Linked DNA regions of Alligator mississippiensis. The protein of the gene in region 2 purifies or fractionates together with the protein of the main gene of each other region. This does not show direct contact. Links are inferred from orthologs where the notes say so. Each region holds a gene or a part of one and is shown on either strand. Other genes may lie near its edges.

What was found.
Region 1: the proteins of TGFBR2 (region 2) and ENG purify together in Homo sapiens (affinity purification with western blotting; 3 studies listed by BioGRID). This does not show direct contact. The link is inferred for Alligator mississippiensis from reciprocal best matches to the Homo sapiens genes TGFBR2 and ENG.

Annotation. Positions count from the first base shown.
Region 1 is NC_081835.1:57,302,608-57,313,329, forward strand, and holds the start of ENG (endoglin), read left to right. Parts: upstream 1-5,737; 5' UTR 5,738-6,083; coding exon 6,084-6,141; intron 6,142-10,722. UniProt on the Homo sapiens protein: Vascular endothelium glycoprotein that plays an important role in the regulation of angiogenesis. Required for normal structure and integrity of adult vasculature. Regulates the migration of vascular endothelial cells.
Region 2 is NC_081828.1:143,383,669-143,394,801, forward strand, and holds the start of TGFBR2 (TGF-beta receptor type-2), read right to left. Parts: upstream 4,036-11,133; 5' UTR 3,932-4,035; coding exon 3,880-3,931; intron 3,236-3,879; exon of another isoform or gene 3,040-3,235; intron 1-3,039. UniProt on the Homo sapiens protein: Transmembrane serine/threonine kinase forming with the TGF-beta type I serine/threonine kinase receptor, TGFBR1, the non-promiscuous receptor for the TGF-beta cytokines TGFB1, TGFB2 and TGFB3.

The DNA.
Region 1 (10,722 bases), on a different chromosome or scaffold from region 2:
CACTTAAGTTTTCTGTAGTTTAGACAAAGTAAGAGACTGGGTTCAGCCCCCTTAAAGATACCAGCCTGGCTCAGTAGGTCATGTAGAAGCTCTTTAGGTTGATTGACATCACTTTGTGCCCCAGTGCTTTGGCAAGTGGTCACTTTGTGTATGATAGGACATTGCATGGCTGTGTACACTTATACAGGGGATCATCTTGTGTGTGTGTGTGCCCTGCCCTGCCCTGCCCTGCCCTGCCCTGCCCTGTGGGAGCCTTTCTTGTATCCCTTCTACTTTGCGCAATAGATATTTGGCGTCACACTCCAGGAACCCAAAGTTTAGTATAAGAACACAGTGTAATGCAGAGACATTAACACCACCTCTGGCCTCTACCTGACCCCTCTGATTAAATGATTGGGCTGCTCAAGATGTCATTAAAAGTCACATTTTTTTCCCTCAGGATTATGTGGCCTGACTTCCACATCAGCTGATCCCTTTCCACTGGAGCTTTTGCAGAGAAGTCAAGTAGGAGGCAGTTTCAGTTCAACTCATTGACATCCCCGTACCCACCAGCTTATTCCTTTTGTCTCAAGGAAATGCCTGTAGCCCAGTGTATTTAGCACACAGCAGTAAGGGCCAGAGGAACACAGCAAGTAGGAGAAACCCTCTGGCCCAAGGAGGTCATGGGTTGCATGGATCTGATTAAGGTAAATGGCAAAACTGATTATATCAAATACAAGAGTGGTGCCAAATGTATGCAGACCTGTTCTCCATCGCTGTCTGGGTACTAACAGTCCCTTAAATGTGACTGCAGCTTTCACTTTTTGGCCACCCTCTCAGGACACCTCATTAACATCCACTTCAGAAGGTTCCCAGGGGCAGGAGGAACGTGGCAAGTCAGTGGTAGAGCTGAGATGAGACCGCAGGATCTCATGACCTCACGGACTAGACCTATGCTTGCTCCTCCGGTCCTCTGTGCCTTTGGACTTGAGCAGTGTAGGTCATAGCTGTGTTGGTCTAAGGACATACCCAAAGAGACTTGTCTGCCTAAATCCAATATCTTTTACTAGACCGACTCAAATGGAAAATTCTTCTTAGCAAGATTTCAGGCATAAACACCCTTCGTCAGGCTGAGGAAGACTCTGAAATCTTGCTAAGAAGAATTTTTCAAACTATTTGAGTCGGTCTAATAAAAGATATCGGATTTATCCAAAGAATCTTATCTGCCTTTGGACTTGAGCAGCATCCATGGGCAGTGTGGCCCAGTTTGCTGTGTGACCCACTCCAGCAGGAGGCAGCACCAGCCTGCAGGCAGACCTACTGACCAGGGGCAAGCACTCCATCAGCTTCCCTTGTGCTGTAACTGGTGCTGAAGTAGGTGGCTCTGGAGCTGATTAGTTACATCAGCCAGTGAAAGGGGATAAGTGAAGAGATGAGAGGGAGCAGAGCTGGGTAGACTTACAGTTGCACAGAGTAGACACAAGTCTTGCACACTAGTGTCATCTGGAATAACTCCAATGAAGCTAGAATTCAATGGGAGTAAAATTAGAAGGAGAGGAGAATTAGTCCTTTCCTCCCCCTTCAAGGGCCAAGCCCATTTAAGCAGGGAGGAGTGGATGGCCCAGTGGTAATAGTGCTACCCTGGGTCTCGGGGCATCCTAGTTCAATTTCCTGCCCTGCTACAGACTTTGTGACCTTGAGCAAAGCAATTAAGTGCTCTCTGCCTCAGTATCCCCACCTGTGAAATGGGAGGGCAGTGCTATTAGTCCCTATGGTACTGCCCGTATACCAAGGGTGTGTGGAAAAAGGGAAGCCAGCTCCTTGCAAGAGTGACGGGTCAGGCTGACGACAAGGGAGGCGGTGATGTGCGGACACCTGACTGAGCAGCAGGGGTCCCAGACAACGCATTTCCACCAGTTTGTGTCCTGTGTCAGGGGCGCCCTGTGGCAATGCAGGAACCTCCTGTTATACAGGCACGCCAAGCTCAAGGAAACAGACTGCGTTAAAATGTTTCTGAGCGAACTTTAGTCCTACCGCCAGAAATTGGTGAGTGAGGATGGAGAAGATGCAGCCAACTTCATCTGGAAAAGCGACACCTGGCACTGGTTGTTCAAAGACCCCTCAGGAGGGAAAGTGGACAGAGAGAACGAAGGGGACAGAGATGCAGCTGGACCTGGAGACAGCAAGAAGGACTGCAACAGGATTAGCAGCAGCAGAAGTGACAGCGATAAGGACAGCGAATGAACTGAGAATAGCCCAAACCCCAATTTGGGGTTTCATAGGAGTGTGATTGGGGTAGGTGAGGGTGGAGGGTAGGTGTGCAGGGGAGTGGGTGTGTTTGTTGTAACGGGAAGTGCAGGCTTCTAAATGTGGTTTTAAGATGTGTGATGGAAAGTTTATAACGGAGGGTGGAGGGGTGTATATAACTCTCTCTCTCTCACATACATATATAATTTTAATTTCAAAAAAGAAAAAGGTGAGAGAGAGAAGAATCATGTGCTAATGTGGCCCAGGGCTGGGAGCTGGGGGATAGGCTGCCCCTGACTCTGAAGACACCTCTGCCAGGACATTAAGCCTGGTCCTGCCAGAGGCTCTGCACCTTCCGTGCTCCTCGCGGGGAGGAACTGTCGGCTGAAGGGGCCGCGGCTGAGCCTACACGTCTCGGGGAACAGCAAACAATGGCACCGGGACCTCCGCACGCTTCGTTCCATCCTGTTGTCCTCTCCCTACGCCAAGAGGCTAAGGCTCGTTCTTTCCTGCCATTGGGGCGACTGGCCAGGAAGAAATGTGTTACCACAAACATGCGGGTTGTCAGCAGGGCACTTCCCACCCACCTTGAAGACAGATCAATCCATCGATCTCTGCCTCTAGCCCCGGCCAGGCCAAAGATAACAGAGGGGGAAATGCAAAGGGCCAGCTGTATATACAGCTATTCCAGGAGGCAAGGCCTTTCAGGTCATGTTCCTCTTTGATCTCCTGGAGTCAATGGGAACCGACCAGTCAGGAATGCGTCTCGTCCAGCATGCGGCGTGGAGAGAGACACGCTCCAAGGCAGACGTGTAAGGCACCGGATGAAGGGCCAGACTGGATGCAGCCCAGGCGTCTGCTGGAGGAGGGCTCTGTAGGCGAGGCTTGGCCGAGAGCATGTGCTCTAGAGGGAGGATTTGACTGGAAGGGAAGGCGCCAGCAGTGGCATTCAAGCCCTGGAGGGTGCTGGTGGGGGGCCTGTGAGAAAGGGCAGGGGATCGGCCTTCCCCGCCTTCTCCCCTTGGAGCTGGACTCTTGCGCCTCTTTGCCCCCTAGCTCTTGCTGGGCGCCTTGCTGGCTGTATGAGCACTGTGTTGCTTGCCATCTGCCTGGCCAACCCTGTGGCTGTTGCTGTAGCTTTCTGGCCACCTCCTTCCAACCCAAAGCCTATGTGTGAGGCATTCACTTGGCTCTTGGCATCCTTGTGACACCTCCTCCTGCCCCACAGCTACCTAAACATCTTCTGCATCATTCAATGGCTGCTGCCATGCAGAAGCAGTGGGATAAACATTTGCTCCTGCCTTTGATCCCTGGTGCCACCTGTTCATTTGTTTGAAGTCATGGGAGACCTGGCCCCCAAGCCTGGGGTGGCACGTACTGCCCTGATGCGTGCCCGAGTGCAAGCAAGAAAGGGAACCAAGACAGTCCTCTGCATCCCCGTTTCCCACTGAGGTGGCAATGGAGCAGGAGTGGCTTTGGAGGCCTGCCTTCGACCCTTGTTCTTCCCAGTACTTGTTTCCCCCATCAGGGACCTGGGATGCCAGGGGGCTGTGGGGGAGCAGCTGAGAGGAGCCCTGCAGTCTGGGAGAGTGAGGGACCAGGTGCTTGAGAGCAGCAGGGAGCAAGAGCAGCCTGTAACTAGCTGAGAGGCAAATGGGTTGCTGATCTCAAAACAGCCCCTCTTCCATGGTGTCCTGGACACTGCTGTGGGCTCTTTCCAAACACCCACAGCCCTTCCACGTTGCCAGCATGCGGGTGCTGTCCCGTTATCTTGACGGCACTCTGGATTCAGGAGCCAAACCCTGGGGAGAAACCCAGATGGACCTGCCTTTTTCCGCAGGTCCATCTCTGATTCTGAAGGGTCTGTCTGAGCCCCAGGAGCCTGGTCTGCCTGGGCTGAAGTGCTGTGGCCATGGGAATGATCACCCGTTCCCCTCTGCCGCTGCGGCCCCTTGGCTCCCAGCTCCGTGCAGTCCCTGTTGTTCTGTCAACAGCAGGTCTTTAGCCCTGTCCTTGGATAGCAAGTAACCAGAGAATGAGGCCCCTGTGAAACGTTTGTCTCCTAACCTGGCTGCAAACTGGCTCCACACGTAAGGCTAGAAGGGACCCTCCTGAACCACATTGAGGCCCCTGTTGTGTCCAGTCGCAGCTCACAGCTAAGAGCCCATCCACGTCCGAGCCAGGGCCACAGGCTCCTTGCTCCAGTTGTAACTTTGGTGTGAACCAGCCCTTAGACTTCTGCACAGTGCCTGGATTAACAGCCACCTCCCACTACCTCTGACCTGCGGTGCTGCTGGGCGAAGGCCAGGGTGGAGTACGCTGGAAGTCTGTGCATGTTCCTGGTGGCAATGTAGGGAGGCCTGCAATAAAGGTCCACGTGATGCTGTCCCCGCTTTGTCTCCGCAGCACCATAGTCCCCAAGATCTCTCTGGGCTGACTGGGGCTGTTGAGCGGCTGCAGTGCTTCAGATTCTGTGTTGTCAGACCTATGAGTCCTGTTTGGTTGGGTTTTTTTCATTAAAATCAACATCCTCCCCTCTCTACATTAAAAACATAACAGTTTACCTCACTTCACCTGTCTGGGGTTGTGTGATCCCAGCATGTGCTCCTGCCAGCGGTGGGGGGTCAGACTAGATGATCCCTTCTGACCCCAAACTACCATGAAACTACATAACACATGTCCAAACTAGCATAGCATCTCCTCATTTACATGCCTTGACATCTACCGTTTCTTCCATCTATGTACTTCTTATCCTTTGGCAGTATGAGACCTGTGTTGTCAGACCTGTGTTGTTCAGGTCTTATGTCTCTGTTCGGCCTCCCACACATGCAGTTCCCACCTGGCTTCCCTCCGTGGTGCTGTGAGTGACACTTCTCCCCCCTCTGTCCCCTGCCATCCAAAGCACTGAAGACTGGCTACTGACTGTAAGTCTTGTATCCTTCCTCCCTCCAGATTCCCTGAAAGGAGGCTTCGGAGACAGTTCTACCCATTTTACAGAGAGGGAAATGGAGGCACAGAGGGGTGCAATGACTAGCCAAAGGTCCCCGAGATGCCAGCCAGGGACTCCCAGTGCTGTGCACCAACCGCTAAGGCACGTTCCTTCCTCAGGATGAGGCAGTGTCCACATACTTCCTGCAGCCCTTGAGGTGCATGCCCCAGTCCCAGCCCCAGCTCCATGCATAGTCTCCTACCCTGGGGCCCCTACAGATGATCTTTAGGATAGAGTGATGCCAGGGGATGATATGTGGCTCACTGGGCTGCAGAAAATCAAATGCAGGCCCGTGGGGGGGAACAGAGCCGCCTCCAGGAACCACCCATGGTCTAGGAGCCCCCTCCTGAGGAGAGGAGGGAGGACTGTGAGCACCCGGCATCCTGGCCGGCTCTCCTTCGGTCTCAGGACGCAGCCCCCACCCATTGCTGTCAGTGCATGACCTCCAGCAGAGGCTCGGAGCCTCTACAAACGGCATTTCCTCCCTCTTTTTGGCAGGCGAGCGTTTGGCAGACCCTCCTCTAAAGGGAGTTGATTTCCTGCCGCTTTGGGTCATCAGCACTGGGTTGAGTCAGTGCCGCACATTCAGGCGCTGTGAGTTCCCCTCCAGCACATCCTCTCGGCGGAGAAGCCGGGACACAACCAGCCACAACCTCCAGGTCCCTGCTTCCTTCTCTGCCACCGACAGCTCAGGAACTCCCCCAAGGCTGGAGTGGAGCAGATCCCCCTTCCTCCGCCTGCCTGCCCACAGTCCCATCGTGCAGTCGTGCAGCCCGTCGAGGCTCTCTGGGGCCAGGCCGCTGCCTCTGGACACGGGCTAAGAGGAGCCAGGACGCGACGCCGGAGCAGGAGGCAGCGTTCCCACGCCATGCAGACTCTCGTGTGCCTCACTGCGCTGCTGCTCTGCTGCTTGCGCGCCCACACAAGTGAGTTGCTCTTCCTTCCCCAGCTATTCCTGAGCTCAGCACGGGGTGGGGGGGGGGGGGGGGTGTTCATTTTGTCTCTTTCTGGCTTGTTTCTGCCTCTTCCTTCTCGCTGGCCTCCTCACCGCTCTCCTGAGCTCCCCGGGCCATTTTCGCAAGTCCTCACGAATTCAAGTCAAGCCAGGCGTTCCTCCTTCCCAGAGTCCTGCTCTGTCCCAGAAAGGCTGGGGCATCTGCCCCTGGTGGGAATCCCCCAGTTTGGTCTCCTCACCTTCTCTGTGGGGAAGCCAGTGATGCTGGGCTGGTGGTTCCCAGCTCCATCCAGCTTCTGAAGAAACAAGAGAGGTGGAAGCATGTCACAGCCCCAGCTCTGCTCTCTGCCAGCGAGGTTCGCTAGGCCTCCACCAGCTGCGCCGTGCCCCCCTGCTGCACTCCCAGGGCTGGGTCGAGGAGAGTCTGTGGCCGCTTGGGGCTGGGAGGTTGGTTGGTGCTGTGTAATGATTTGTTGCGAGGTCCTCAGGGCTGGGGGCAGTGTGCAGAGCTGCAGTGCGAGGCCGGTGGCTTTTTGTCATCAGAGTTGCATCTTGCAAAGAGCTAAGCACCTCCTGGAAAGTGCAAGGGGCTTCAGTGGGGACCACAGGCGCACTGCAGCTCCCAGAATCCAGCTCAGTGGGTCTTATCCAGGATCCATGGAAGTTGATGGACATACTCTCGATGGACTTTGGATCAGACCTATGGAAGCTGGAGGGAGCTGGATGTGGGGTGTTGGTGGCTTCCAGCAAACCTCCAGATAAACGGCTCTTAGGAAATACCCTGGGAGCAGACAGTGCAGAGCCAGTGGGAGCAGCTGCTAAGGGTTCATTTGGCCACAAGGTCACTCCTCCCAGGCTGGGATGCCCTGGGGTTACTGCTGGCTCCCGGAGAGCTGTGCAGCCATGCTGTCAGTGTTGCTTCACCACAGAACCTAGTGACCCGCGATGGGCACGGGCTGACTCAAGCCAGCCAAGGGTCTGGCTTTGCACAAAATGGCTTTTATTTTGATTACTCAGTAAAGTTGAGCCCCGGCTGTTGCAGGCAGAAGGCTGTGAGCTGGGGTTTTGCTGAGGAAACAGCTTCAAGTGGAGCCGGGAGTGGGGGAAGCCTGGATATGTCAGAAAGAAGTACGGACCACAGGTCATCCCCATTCCCCCTCTCTTTGGCTTTTAAAGCCCCAGAGCAGCAGCCGGGGAAGAGGGGGAAGGGGGGGAGAGAAGGGGAAACAAAGAAATCTCTCCCTCAAACTTAGCGGGCTTTGAAACCTGAGACTGTAAAGAAACAGGGAATTTGGCCAAATAGCCTCAATGAAGAGAAATCCTCTCACTGGGATCATCTAGTCTGGAAAAATAAGCTGCTTGGAGAACAGCCCAGCTGTGTTTCTTCACCCTTGTAAAAATCCTGTGAACATGCAGGCCAAAGAGTGAAGCAACATTGGGGCTGGTGCGGGGGAGAGTTTACTTGTCTCCAGCAACTACAGGCGAGCAAAAAATTGGAAGGAGCAAACATTTGAGTGCACAAAAAGAAATGTGCAGGCAAGGATCTCCCTGAGGGGAGGGTGTTAGTTCCCAAGAAGAATGAGAATTAAGTAGCAGAGATGGAGCCAAAATCTTGCTCTGGGGATGAACCATGGCTTTTGCCAAGGGACTGGCCTACATGGCCACATCCAGCCCACAGGGGTAGCGCTGCAGCGGGACGTGGTGGAAAGCTGGGATGGTCATCGCAGCAATCTGAGTCCACTCTGCAGTTTATAATGCTCTGAGATCGCGCTGCTTGGGTAGAGTTGAACAGATCAGCACAGCAGGCTTGGCAGGAGAAGCAGCTTCAGACCCAAGGTCAGGTTTCCAGGAGTGGTAGTGGCTGTGGAGATAACATAGTTACTGGGGGTGGTTTCTGAAATGCATGAGCCCCAGAGAGTGTGAAGGAAGGAAGAGCTTGACAGGCACTGCAACATCTTCAAGGGCATTATTTCTGCAGCTCGCTCAGCTCAAAGAAGAGCTCTGAAGACACGCAAATGTCTCTCTCAGCAGGGTCCGGGAGCAAGCAGTGGAATTTGAGTCAGGGTAGTGAGTTATTGCCAACGCCAAGAGATCGAAGATCAGGAGTCTGGTCCCAGACACCAGAGATTTTAAAACAGGGATTTCAAGTCAATTGAATCAATGTAAACTCTTTGTTTTTAATTTTCCTTTTGATTTCTGAGCCTTGGGGGTTGTGTTTGCAAGGTTTCAGAGGGTTACAGACTTGGTGCTTGAATGGAAAGCTGAGTTTCCTCTAATCACATGACTCCAGGAGCTGGGACTGTGAGAAAAATGCTGTCAAATATCAGAGGGGCTTGTGACAGAATCCTGGAAGTTGGTGAGCCCATAGTAAGGAGGGCTGGGAAAGCGGTTAGCTGGATCTGGGGATCACAGAGCAACCATTGGCTGTGAAAACAGCAGGGGCTGCAGGATCATTCCCAGAGCTCGTGCGATCTGTTGAGAGAGGGCTGCACTAGTCACCCGCGTGGCAGGGTTGAGTGGAAGGGATCTCTCCTGGAAGCCTCGCATGTGGTGGGCTAGCATACTTCAGGTGGGATTGGGGCACAGCTAGAGACTTGCACTGAGACACATCTGTCCCTGGTACAGCATCACTGACTTGCACCCACAAGGTCTTTATTCAAAGCCCCAAGTTTCCTCTGTGTCTCTGGTGGATCCCTAAGGATGGTCCTGTTCATTTCCACCATTGACTGTCTGCGTGATAGCCAAGGACACAGGCCAGGCCACACTTTGAAACCCCTGTGTCACTGGAAGGGAGTCTCCGCTGAAGAATTGGTCCAGCTGTATGCACTGGCTCAGTGGCCACTAGGTCAAAGTTACTACGGGGTTGGCCCCAGCCCAACAAGTGTATGTATGTGTGTTTCTCATTGTCCCGTGTCAAGCGTACACAGCGTGCGGTGCTGTCTGAGAGCCTGAACAGGCAGCCTGCTTGCACCTGTGTAATCTTCACTGGGTTTGTATACCTGTATTGATTATGGGGTCTAGAGGAGACATACAAGGTAGATATTCAAGTGTAGCTGTTCCCAGTATGCACCATTACAGTACCTCACTGCACCTGGGTAGGGAGCAGGCCATAGCCCGCTTGCACTGAGCAAATGGCTACCCTGGGATGGAAGATGTAAGTCACACCAGTATAGGCTGACTTCTCGTTCTTCCCCTGGTAATGCTATCCTGGACTTGGGGCAAGTTACACAGATGTAGGAGTATCTGTGGACTCCTTGTTCATACCAGTTCAAAAATGGCAACTATCCAAGGCCAGACACCAGTCCCTAGGTGCGAGAATCACCATGGCCCAGAGATGAGTAGATATTTCAAGCCTTGGAGACAGAGGGCAGCTCACAGGAAGGTGAGCCCAGCACTATGGCCTATGGCCTTTTGGCTAGAGGCAAGCAAGACTAGGGGCTATCTGAACTCCAGGGCCTCTGGGCTTGGAGTTTGCACATAGGATGCCCACCATGGATTTGGGAGCATCTGAAGTCCCAGGCTGACGAGTCTGAGAGGTAGGATACTTGCCAGTGGTAGTGCAACACAGACTTGAACAACTGCGCTCTGCTCAGTTGATAGAATTTGCAACTAATTTGGCCTAAGACACAAAATTATATATATAAGGGGGAAAGGGACCATTAGGGTATCTAGTCCCATCTGCTGTGAGAAGAAACTGTGTCAACTCAGCTGCTTTCAATTCCACTTATATATTTCTGTTAGCTAGAAAACAATTCCAGTAAATTGGCAGCAGTACGGTGCACGATGCTAATTAATGGCAGAGGGAAGACAAGACCAGTGGGTGTAATGCACATATAGGATTGCTCAAGGTGGGGGTGGGATTTAGGAAAGGGAGGTCTGGTTACAAGAGAAGGAAGCCAATATGGGCATGTCCGTACTGAGGAACTCCGGTTTCTTGTGCTTCTACCTCAAAGCACTTTATGGAGGCATAAACTGCGCCAAGCTCACTGAAATACAGACACCCCTGGGGGTGGGGGCAGCAGCTGTCAGCTCTGCGTATCAGTTCCAGACAGAGTGAAAAACCACCTTTGCCCACAGAAAGGGAGACCAGCTTGGGCACTCCCCAGCGTGCTCTGAGCACCCCCAGCCAGCTCTGATTAGCTGGGGATAGCCTGTGGGGCTGCAGATGGGGTGGGCCAGAGCAGAGTCTAGGCTGGGCCATGCAACCCTTTGCAGTTTTCTTTGAAGACCTCCGAATTCTTCCATACCAGGATTTCTCACATATTGTAAAGCACAGGGAAACAAGCGGCAGTGAAAAGGCAGGGAAAAAAGAAGAATTGAGGTAGATGTGTGTTGCGGGGGGGTAGAGATTTCCGTTTTGGTGCTGGATGCGGAATGGCAGTGGCTTTGGAGTATTTAAGGTACCATTAGGGTATCTAGTCCCATCTGCTGTGAGAAGAGACCACATCAGCTCAGCTGCTTTCAATTCCACTTTATATATAAGACCTCCTAAATCCCACCCCCACCTTGAGCAATCCTATATGTGCAACACACCCACCGGCCTTGTCTTCCT
Region 2 (11,133 bases):
AGGACTGCCTAAATCCCACCAAAAATCAACAAGACTTAAGAACATATTTAAGAGCTTCTTGGTGTGTGACATTATTCAATCATGTGCTTAATTCTTTTCCTGAAATCAGGCTCATACTGAGGAAGAAACTCACTATTATATTATGTTTGGAACACATCTTTCCAGGCCTAAAACCCTACATGTAAACTACAATTTCATGCTTTCAGATAGTTGGTGATAAGGGTGCATGCAACTGATATCAGTTTACCCTACTTTATATTTATTGGATATTACACAAGTCTTAGATACATGTTGAAAATTTATCTTACAGCACTAAAACCAGATCATGCATTTACTAGAGAATGCTTCACTTGGTCTCAGAAACAGTCCCATTACACTCTGACATAGTAACCATGCTCAGTCTCATTTCTACACTAACTAAAGCAGTGCTCATTTGTAATAAACAGATTACTCAGAGGCAAGGAGGTAGCAAGAATGAGGTTTAATTTCTTAACTCTTATCACAGCCACCCACTAACAGAGTTGAACATCAAGATTAAGAACTCACAGTCAAAAAGACTGAGGCTGAATCTATTCAATCTTCTCAAGTTAGTCTAAGCTGTATAGATTGAGCCGATAAACAAGTGAACAGACATTCACTTTTGATTCTGGAAATACAGCCCCATGCCTGCAGTGGCTCAGGTCAGAAGCCGGGGGTGCTAGAGTAAGACTCCCTGCTTCACTGGAGCAGACAGCTTGGGCCAAGGCTAGCCCTACAAGGTGGGGTTGGGGTTGGCAGAAGAGGTGCAAAGCATTCTGGGAAGCCAGGGGACTGCAAGTCTACTTGAATCTGGACAGGATCTGGGACAGGAGTTCAATAAACTGATTTAACCTAAATCAATTAAGTCTGATACTACATCCATCCAGATTTATCTTAAACCATTTTGGCCATTTCTAATGTGGCTTATGTGCACTGAACTTCTGATTTGTTACAGATCTGAACCAGTTTCTTATACTGGTTTATATGTAATTTCTGTCCCTAGCTCAAGACTGCCTGAATATTCTGTAGATTAAGCCCATTCTTTCTACTTATTTGGGGCTATTTCCATCTTCTCCGATTAGCTTTATTCAAGAAAATACCCACCCATTTTCATTTTTCTACTGACCAAAAGCAACTTTACATCCTATTCTCATTATTAGGTAGAAAAAGAAAATACATACTTGATGAGCTCTGAGGCCAATAAATAAATAAATAAATAAAAATTAAGCAAACTAGATGGAAGAAAATGGCACTGACTCTTTGAAGGTAGGGCTATAAGAGATTTCCCATTTTACAACAGAGGGACTGATTCTGCACTGGTTTGTACTACAAAGACCTATGTAGTCCTTTACCTCCATACAAAACTAACCACATACTACCTGGTTTGCACTGTTTGGAAGCTGCAAAGCATCTGAAACTTCTGCAATATGCCAAGCTGAGAATTCAGGGAATACCAGATGCCAGAATTGCCCTTTAGGGTCATAAGCAGGTGTGAATAAGTAACAATAGTTCAGAGTTGAATTCTCAATTATGCTGGAGGCCAAAAGTGGCTCCAGCCAAGCCCAGGATTGTAGTGTCAAAAAGGTGGCTGAAAGCTTTGGATTCTACCACCTCAGCAGAACTGAAGGATACTTTCAAAGCATACTGCATGTGTAAAGCACTTTCAGACTATAATTTTTCCTTTGCATGAGTATTCACATTTAATACCCACTTTGCCCATATGCAAATTGCTACACAAGGTGGCAGCACTAAAGAATAAGGTCCACAGCTTCGGTTCTGCTCATTTACAGCAGTGCAAACTGGAGTAACTCTACTGAAGCTAGTGGTGTTGCAGTGGGGACACAGAAGTGTAACTGCAGAAAGAACACGGCAGAGCTGTGATACAGACACTACAAGGAAAAAGTCCCTACACCACAAACGCAAAAATACCAATTTAAAAATATCCTGCAGAGGAAATCTGGTCATGAGAAACTTCATCAATTGGTGCCACAACAACACCGTGTTCTCCTTTCCTCCCCTCCTCCCCCAGAAGAGGAACTATTATTGGATGAAGATTTATGAATATACATTTTTAAATCATATTAAAAAGCTCCATCCTCAATCTTGTAAACAAATATAATATAGGACTACTCATACAAAACCTTTTCACATTTAACAACTAGGAATTATCGTTTCCTACTGTTATATTATAAACAAGTTTGAAGCTATAACAATTCATCCTGGAAAAAAAAAGTGCTTGGTTTTAAAAGAACACACTCTGGTTAAATATAGGTTATAAGGTATAATCTTTTACAAAAGTTAAGAGCTAAACTAAAATCAAATGTATCCATTAACCTTTCAAAAATTCAAATTGAAACACATTGGGCCAGATCCTGAGCTTGTGTGTATATTTGTATAGCTCCACTGATATCAAGTGACCAATACCAATCCGCAATAACTAAAGATCTGCCTCATCATTGTCTAAAGGAAGAAAAACTACAGTTTACAAAATTGGGTTAATGCAAAAGAACTTGAAATAGGAACTTACTGGAAAATGACTTTCAACAAGTGCAACGGATTACTTTATTTTCATTGCCCAAGAACAAATATTATCACAGTCATCACAATCATCACTTATTAGGTACCAAAAACACATCATCGTAAAAAAAGTTCAGGCAGAAGGCTGAATATATCAGGTGCAAAATTCTTATGCTACGATAAGCCTTCATCCATACGCTGCCTTCTTTAAGATACAAACTTTATATCATTGTCACATCTGTCCCAAAAACTGTCCAGGTGTGCAGTTCTATTAGCTTTGACAAGATTACTCACTGTGCAAAAAGCAACTCAAGTATGTACAGCATCAGCAGTTTTGGATGATTGCTAAAAGACGATAAGGAACAACGGCTTGGTGGAGTGCTTATTTACTGATCAGATACAGGCCAATTAAAGGAACGTGAGGAGAGAGACAGATTCCAGAACCGTTCAGCAGTTTACACAGTGATCATGTTACTTGAGGACCTAAGGATAGGTATTTAGTACCTTAATACGTGCCTTCGGTTCTAGGTATCCACTTGATTTATAAAAGCTGTTTGCAAGTTAAAAATCCACCAGCCTCTGGCCCCTCAGCACTTCCTTAGTTTCTGGACCTTGCAGTACTAACAGGCAACCCTGCTTTCACAAGCAGGTTTTGGGGCCTACTCCCCTGTGCGCCTACAGGAGCAGCTTTTGACATGCGAGCAGTCATGCTGAGCTTGCCTGCAGAGGTGTAGGTGTAGGATGAGAAACCCCAGACTACCAACTTCTCAAGGCAGGGGCCTTGTTTTCCCCTCCACTGGCCAAGCCCCTTGGCAGACCTTTGGCAGGAGACAAATCCATCTGTGACTAGCACTAGGAGCTGGAGGGGCTTAAAAACATCCAGGGGAGTGTTATCGAGTTGGCAAAGGGGGGTGGGGTATGGCTGTCCAATCCCGCACCGCAGCCGTTTTGGGAGCGAAAGCAGATCCCAAGTCCTCCCGAGGGCATCTGCCACCACTTGACAGGTAGCGCCTGGGAGACGCAGCTGTCCGCTTCACCCCATGTGCACCAGGGCCCACACGCCGCCCCAAGGAGCAACCACCTCAGGGATGCAGGCACAACACAGGGAGCTGAGTTGCCTTCCCTGGGCACTGCTGAGATGCCCCGTCTCCAGCAGTGCCAGGAACAGCCAAGCCGCCGGACAGCTGGGCCGAGGGGGCATTCATCCCCTCCACTCCCCTGCCCTGGCTGGGAAGGGGTGCCCAGCAGCGCCCTGCCCTCCACGGCGCACGGCTCCTCCCGGGGGCCGGGGCGGGCACCGCGCCTCCCCGCCAGCGCTGTCAGCCGGACGCGGCGGACACTCACCGCAGCCCAGACAGACGTGCAGCAGCAGCAGCAGCCCCCGAGCCGGACTCATGGCGGGGCCGGGCCGGGCCGGGCCGGGCCGGGCCGAGCGGGAGGCCGCGGCGGAGGCTCGCAGGCTGCCGGGGAGTGAGTCACTCGGGCGCTGCAGGGGAAACAGGAAATCTTAAAAACTTCGCCAACAGCTGGGCAGGACTTTCTCCCTCGCACAGTAGTTCCTGCCCCCCCAGCCTCTCCCCGCTCCGCCCCGAGCCGGCCCCTCGCGGCCGCGGCAGAGGGGGGCGCCGCGCCAAGCCGGGCCGGGCCGCGGCGCGCTCCGTCAGGTGTGGGCGCGGGACCGGCCGGGCCGGCTCGGAGATGGAGGCAGCGGGCGGCTTGGATGGACCGGGCTTTCCCGCCCCCTCCGCCAGTCTCGCGGGGCTCCCGCAGCGCTCCCCGCCTGCCCGCCGCCCAGCCGCGGGGTCAGCGAGGCAGGGCTGGAAGGGACCCGCGTCCGCCCAGCCCCAGAGCGCGGGGCCGTAGAGGCAGGGCTGGAGGGGACCTACGCACCCCGACCCGGAGACCACAGCATCATCGCAAATGGGGGCTGGCAGGGACTAGTCCACCCCCCTGCTCAGAGCAGGACCATCCCCAACTAGTTCATCACCTGGAAGAGAGGGGCAGGGCTAAAAGGGACCTACCTAACTACCCCCATCTGGAGATGACAGGTCGTAGAAAACGAGAGGGGGAAAGGACCTCAGGATTGGAAGGGACTAGTCCATCCCCCTGCTCAAAGCAGGACCATCCCCAACTAGATCATCAACTAGAATAGAGGCAGGGCTGAAAAAGGCCTATGTACCCCCCATCCAGAGACCACAGGATCATAGAGGCCGGGCTGGAAAGAACCTACATACTCCCATCCCGAGACCACAGGATCATCAAAAATGAGGGTTGGAAGGGACTAGTCCATCCCCCTGCTCACAGCAGGACCATCCTCAACTAGATCATCAACTAGAATAGAGAGGAGGGGCTGAGAAGGACCTACATACCCGCATCCTGAGACCACAGGAACGTAGAGCCAGGGATGGAAAGAACCTACATACCCCCATCCCGAGAACACAGGATTACAGAATAGAGGCAGGGATGGAAAGAGATCTACATACTCCCATCCAGAGATCATAGGACCATAGAATAAAGGGAGGACTGGAAGGGACCTCCACAGCTCATCTAGTTCAACCCCTCGCCTGAGGCAGGCTCATCCCTATGCCAACCGCCTCGAGAACCTTGTTAGAATTCCTGCCATCACATGTGTGGTCATATGGGGCTCTTTTGGGCCCAACAGCATACAAACAGTCCCTGCCCCAAAGGCCTGATGAGTGAGGGGTCCTCTGGCAACATGTAACATGGTGTCCAGGGGCTGGACACAAAGAACCAAGAGGCATATGGGCAGATCTAAGGGGGGAGGGGGGGCATGCAGCTGGTGAGGTGCATCAGCACAAATAAAAACCACACATGTTTTTCTCTGGTTAAAAATAAACCGGATGCTTTACTAATACTCTCAGGGCCTAGGGCTGGATTACTCATTTTAAGGTCAAAGCAAAAGCAAAAACAATTTGCTGGACTGTGAAAGAGGAGTTTAATGACCAGGAGCAGTGAAGAGACTGGAGAATGGCAGACATAAGGTGAGCTTGAACATCAAGACCATTAAAAAGAAGAGAGAGTTGTTCATTTCAGGAGGATTAAGAGTTTAGAAGGGATAAAGGGATGAAGTAGATTATGAGTCATGAAGTCAATGGACTCATTCTGCAGTGCCTAACTAGAAGTGCTGTTGCCACTGCCAGGCAGTTGGTTTTAAACGTTGCAGGGGGACCCAGAATCTAAGGGTTGTGCAAGTGCATCATGGCACCACCCCTGGGTCCACCACTGAAAAGGTCTCTTCCAGGCCTGTATTTCCATGTTAACACCTGAGCTGTTTCTCTGTATAGGCCCAGTGAATCCCCTGGTACCTCTGTAGCAAAACCCGCAGTTTTTCTTTTTTTTATTTATTTTAAAATGCATTCCCTCCCCTTCCCCAACCATTTCTGACTTTTTCTCTCCCTCTCTATTCCCTATAGAGAAGTATAAGTAAGCTAAGATGTAGGATAAGCTTTAACATTTTATTTTAGGTAGTAAGTTTTATTTTTCTCTCCCCTCTGCAAATAAGTTCCCTACTATTTTGATATCGATACCCACTGTTTTATAAGTGATAATTATTATGTTTGTACTGCTTTTATATTGTGTGATTACTGTTTTAGGCCTATATATGTAAGTTAGCATAAGTCATGTCAAGTTTCCATTTTGTATGTCAAGCCTCCGTCTTGCGTCCTCTGCCTGAGCATCCCCTGTGTTGCAACTGTATGATTCATGTACCCCTCCCATGTCAATTGGTTCCAGGATGAATGAGAGCGATTGGGAATGAGTGAAATACAATGGTAGCAGGCCTGTACTGTCTGTAACGACTAGGCCATCACCTCGCATTGATTCATCCAGGAACCATGGACCTCACCCAGGAACAGAGACAAGAACCCAACATTTGAAAGACAAAAAATCCTACAGAACTAGTAACTCTACCATTGTACCCCACCATTACAGACACACGAAACTGCACATCCCTGCATGGAGCACACATGCTCAGTAAACCAGGGGCTGACCCTTACCGGGGCATGCCTCCTGTCACTAGGGTCACACAGAATCTGCTCCTATAAAAAGGGGGAGTGAAGACAGACCCCGTGGGACGCCCTCTCCATCTGGACCAGCACCATGCCACACCACCTATCCACCCAGAGGCCCTGCCGACGACCCCCCCTCTGGACAACACCTGCTGGACAAAGACCCCTTTCCAGCCTGGATAGGTAGCTATCACCCCCTCTTCAACCAAGGACTTGGACTCCACTTCTCTTCCCCACCTGGACTCCAACCCTTCCACTGAGTCTCTTTCTCCTGCTGCCATTGTGAGTGCGTGTGTGTGTGTGTGCACACGCGCGCGTGTGCATGTGCATGTGTGAACCAATAACTTCATGGGACTGTGTAGTGTGTTGTCTTGTTAATAAAACTGTTATTTGGACCCCTAAGTTGGGTTTTGCTTTACTAGGGTTTGGCCCTGCTCCAATCTCTGCTCCTCGCCCCTCTAACTTCTGTCTCATTTCTCCCTCTCCTGCTTCTGGCTCACTGCCACCTCCAACACTTGTCCTGAGCTCCTCTCTGCCTCCAAACCCCCTGTTTCTTTGCCACTGTCTTATTCCCTCTGCCTTTTCCTTTTCCCCTGAGCATCCAGGTTTCTGCCTCAGTTTCTTTCCTGACTGTCGCCTCCTTGCCACCACTTATCTGCCTCCCCTGCCCAATATCTCAGCTGTCTGCCTCAGTTTTCAGCCCCAGTCTACCTTAAGTAATCCTAAGCCTTGGTTCCTCAGCCAGCTTCTCTGTAGTCCACTGGTTCTACTCCTGGTTCTGGCAACTTTCACTCCCTGCGCTTTAACTCTCTCTCTCTCACCTGAACCTTCCCCCAAGTATCCCAGGTACCCCAAGCACACACATATACACTGTACCATCCAAATTAGGAATTTACCTGTGTGGATGTGTATGTGTGTGAACTGGTGAGTGTGTGTGTGTGTATATATACATATATATATGTCATTGTGTGCATGATATACAAATTAGTGATCTGTGTCTAACTTTTGGGGTGTATAGTGTATGTACTTGAATTGGTGATAGGTATGCATGTGCCTAGGCTGGTTTGGATGTGTATGTCCCTGAGCTGGTATTGTGTGTGTGTGTATGCACCCAATTGATTTGTGTGTTTGTATATGTGCAATTGTGTCACACCCTCCTATCTAACAGTGCAATATTGAGATCCTGAGAGTTGGACTGACCCCACAGGGCAACACCTCCACATGTGACAGCAGAGTAGCTCTACCTGTGCATGAGCACACTGTAAGATCGGTGTTGAAAAGACAAGACAGAACAGGCAGGTGAGAGGAACCAGAGAGAACAGAGGCTGAAGTAAGGGTAATAACAGGAAATGTTAGTGCAGACTAGCTGTGTACCTAAGGTGTCAATGTAACAAGCCAATCTCTACTGGCAGCTGCAATCCCAGCAGCTTGTCATCCTTTTCTCATAGTTTTCATTTCTCACGCTTGCAAAGATGGTTGCAAAATACCTGAATATTTGGCCAATGTTAGAATCATAGGAAAACGGGGCTGAATGGGACCTCCAGAAATCCACTAGCCAAATAGCCTGTTCAAAATAGGATCATTTTTGTCTAAACTAGCCAAGACAAAAAAATCTCTCTCACTGGCACTTAAAAATTTCCAGTGATGGAGACTTTATTGCGTTCCAAAACTGAAAAGAATTTGTGGTTTTTAAAGGAAAATTTTCAGAAAGAAACAGGCAAACCATTTTCCTGAAAACTAGGGTAAATTGTTAATAAGTCAATCAACTTTTTTTTCAAGCTAAGCTAGTTATGTAAAGATACTTGGCAGAATTTCATATCTTTTTTAAAATGCGAAATCTACATGCACAGGCACAAAAATAACCTGAAATAAAGGATCATATTAATGAAAATGTTTCGTGATTCCTCCCCACCCCGTGATGCCACCTTACCTAAGCACAGCCAACAAACAACCGAACAGGAACTCCCTGCAACAAGTATTGCAATGGGCGGGTAAGTTTAAGATGTATTTTACCAGATTAGGTGAAGGCAAGCAAACACCCATGTAACACTGGGCCACGTAGCAATCTCAGCCATCAACTACATATCCAACAGGTCCTGACTTTGCGATGGCTAATGCTCATTATGGGTCACTGAGGTAGATGAAATTCATCTGCTTCTTTCTCTAGCCTAGAGGGACTGTGGGCTCTCCATCACTGGAAATGTTTAAGCACAGGTTAGACAATTTTGTTATTTAGGATGGTATATAGGATGATTTAGAAATGATCTGGTTTTGAACAGGGTATTAGGCTAGTGGACTTTCTGAAGTCCCATTCAGCCCCATTTTCCCTGTGATTCTAACATAGACCAAATATTAATGTATTTTGTGAAGATCTTTGCAAGAGTGAGGAATCAAAACTAGGGGGAAAGGATATTTTGAGGTTGGAAGCAATGCAATGCAGCTGTTCTGTATAGTCTATTGAGCAGTTAGTGACCATAAACTCTACTGAGAGATTGAACTAACTAAGGATTGTAGCAATAGCCACTCTTGTCTCTAGAAATGCAGCCTCCAGATATAAAGTAATTATTTTACTGTGTATTTTAGTATGTGGGCTTTTAAATTTCACTACATAACTATATAACTGAGAGCAGAGTAACTAGAAGCACAGGAATAATTTGAGAGTCTCTGTTGTAATTTTGATGATTCAGCTGTGTCTTGATTACAGAACTGGAAGTGGCATCAGACCAGGGTATTTGAGACAGGGATTGAGCCCGTGCATGTGCATAATGCTGAATGTCCCATATCAGCATTTATGAATTGTTCAGTTATTTACATAATGTAATAGTTCTAGAATTTAAGCTTCAATATCCCATTTATGCAAATTTGAGTTTTAATAACTCCCTAAATGTATAGCTACATAGCTACACAGTTGCAGTTTATGGTGTGGATTCTTATAAACCTCTCAAACAGTTTTTTCTTTTCTTCTTGTTTTCCCTTTATATCTAGTCAAGATGCACTCGTACAGCTGCCACCTGTCCTAAGATGAGGAAAAAAAATTGCCCGAGTGACACCAAGAAGAGAGTTGAGGAATTTTTATCTAATGTTGTGTACTATTGCTGCTGTATAAACTAGCCATGTTTAGTAACTTCACTAAGAATTAGAATTTTTAATATGTTTTTCCTTATACATTGTAGCAATGTAGTTTTCAAATGACAGATCATAAAGCTCTTGCTGGTGGATTAAAATGCTGGTTAGATAGTGTGGGGTCTCCTCTCTATTTCCAAGTGCTAATTTGGTTTAATAACAGAAGGTAAAACATTATTGTTATCATTTTTGCCATGTAAGAAATTGTAGTTGCCACAGAGACGTTACAAAATTATGAATAGGGGAGAGAGAATAGTGTTTGAACATGTGGGCCTTGGGTTGGAGTTTGGATGTCAGTCTGGGTGTTTGGGTTTTTATCTGGGTGTCTTAAAGGAAAACTCAGTATGTGGGTTACTACCACCACAGTTTTTATTGGCCAGAAAGGTCATGCTTATACAGCCTCCTGGCTGATCCAAGAAATGCTGTTAAGAAAATAAGCCTTCTGTACTCTCACCAACTTGGCTGCAAGAAAGATGGGCAATTAACCAGAATAGATCGCTTGGGAGCAACTCAGAGTGGCCCAGGAACTATCTGCTTTTTCCAATTGCTAGTGTTATCTGTGAGCTTGATGACAGCAAGTGGGCAGGACTTATTTTCTCAGCCGCTTTCCTGGGGTGAGGTAGGAGGGCTGTGTAGGCATGCCCAGAAAGTCAACATAGACGGTAAACCAGGAAAAAAAAGGCAAGTTCACCCTTTTTTAACACTCCAAACTGAACATGAGTTGTGGTACACTTTGAGTAACAGAGAGCCAGTTCCTGCCTTTCTTGGGTACTTTAACACACATGCTTAGACCCAAGCGCCATTTACTCAGGATTTCCTGGACAATTGAGAATTAAAACAAGGCTAAAGTTTGTCACTTATTTCCATTTCCTCATTCATAGTTCTCATTTCCTTACTCACTGACTGCACTTTACTGCTTTATTTCTAGACTGAAACAGTGAATAATTATCTTCAGTTTACTACAGGTAAAGGGAGCCAAATTGTGCATATTTTAGCTGAAATCAGAAAAGCAAGCAACACAGGTAAATATTGAAATATTAAATAGTGAATAATTTCTTCTGGAGCATTAAAAATGAATCCAAATAGACACACCAAACTCAAACAAACATAATGTCTCATATAAACTCATGTATTTTCACAAAGAATTAAAAAAGGAAAGGAGGATGCAAGCTAGAGATTCAGAAAAATCTCTTACTGTGATGTTAGCTCCAGTTTTAGAACACACCAGGTACAAACTACACAAAAGTTTTCTAGTTCAACCCATGTCCAGCCCACAACATTTCATTTCTATCAAATGCCCAAACTACTACGTATTGGTAACTTTCTTTTATGGAACTTTTAATTTTGTTTTGAAACAATATCTTATTTTGATTTTTTTTTGTTACTATAATACAATTGTTAGAGTACAATACAGAATAAAAGCGTCAAAATGGGACAATCTTTGTTA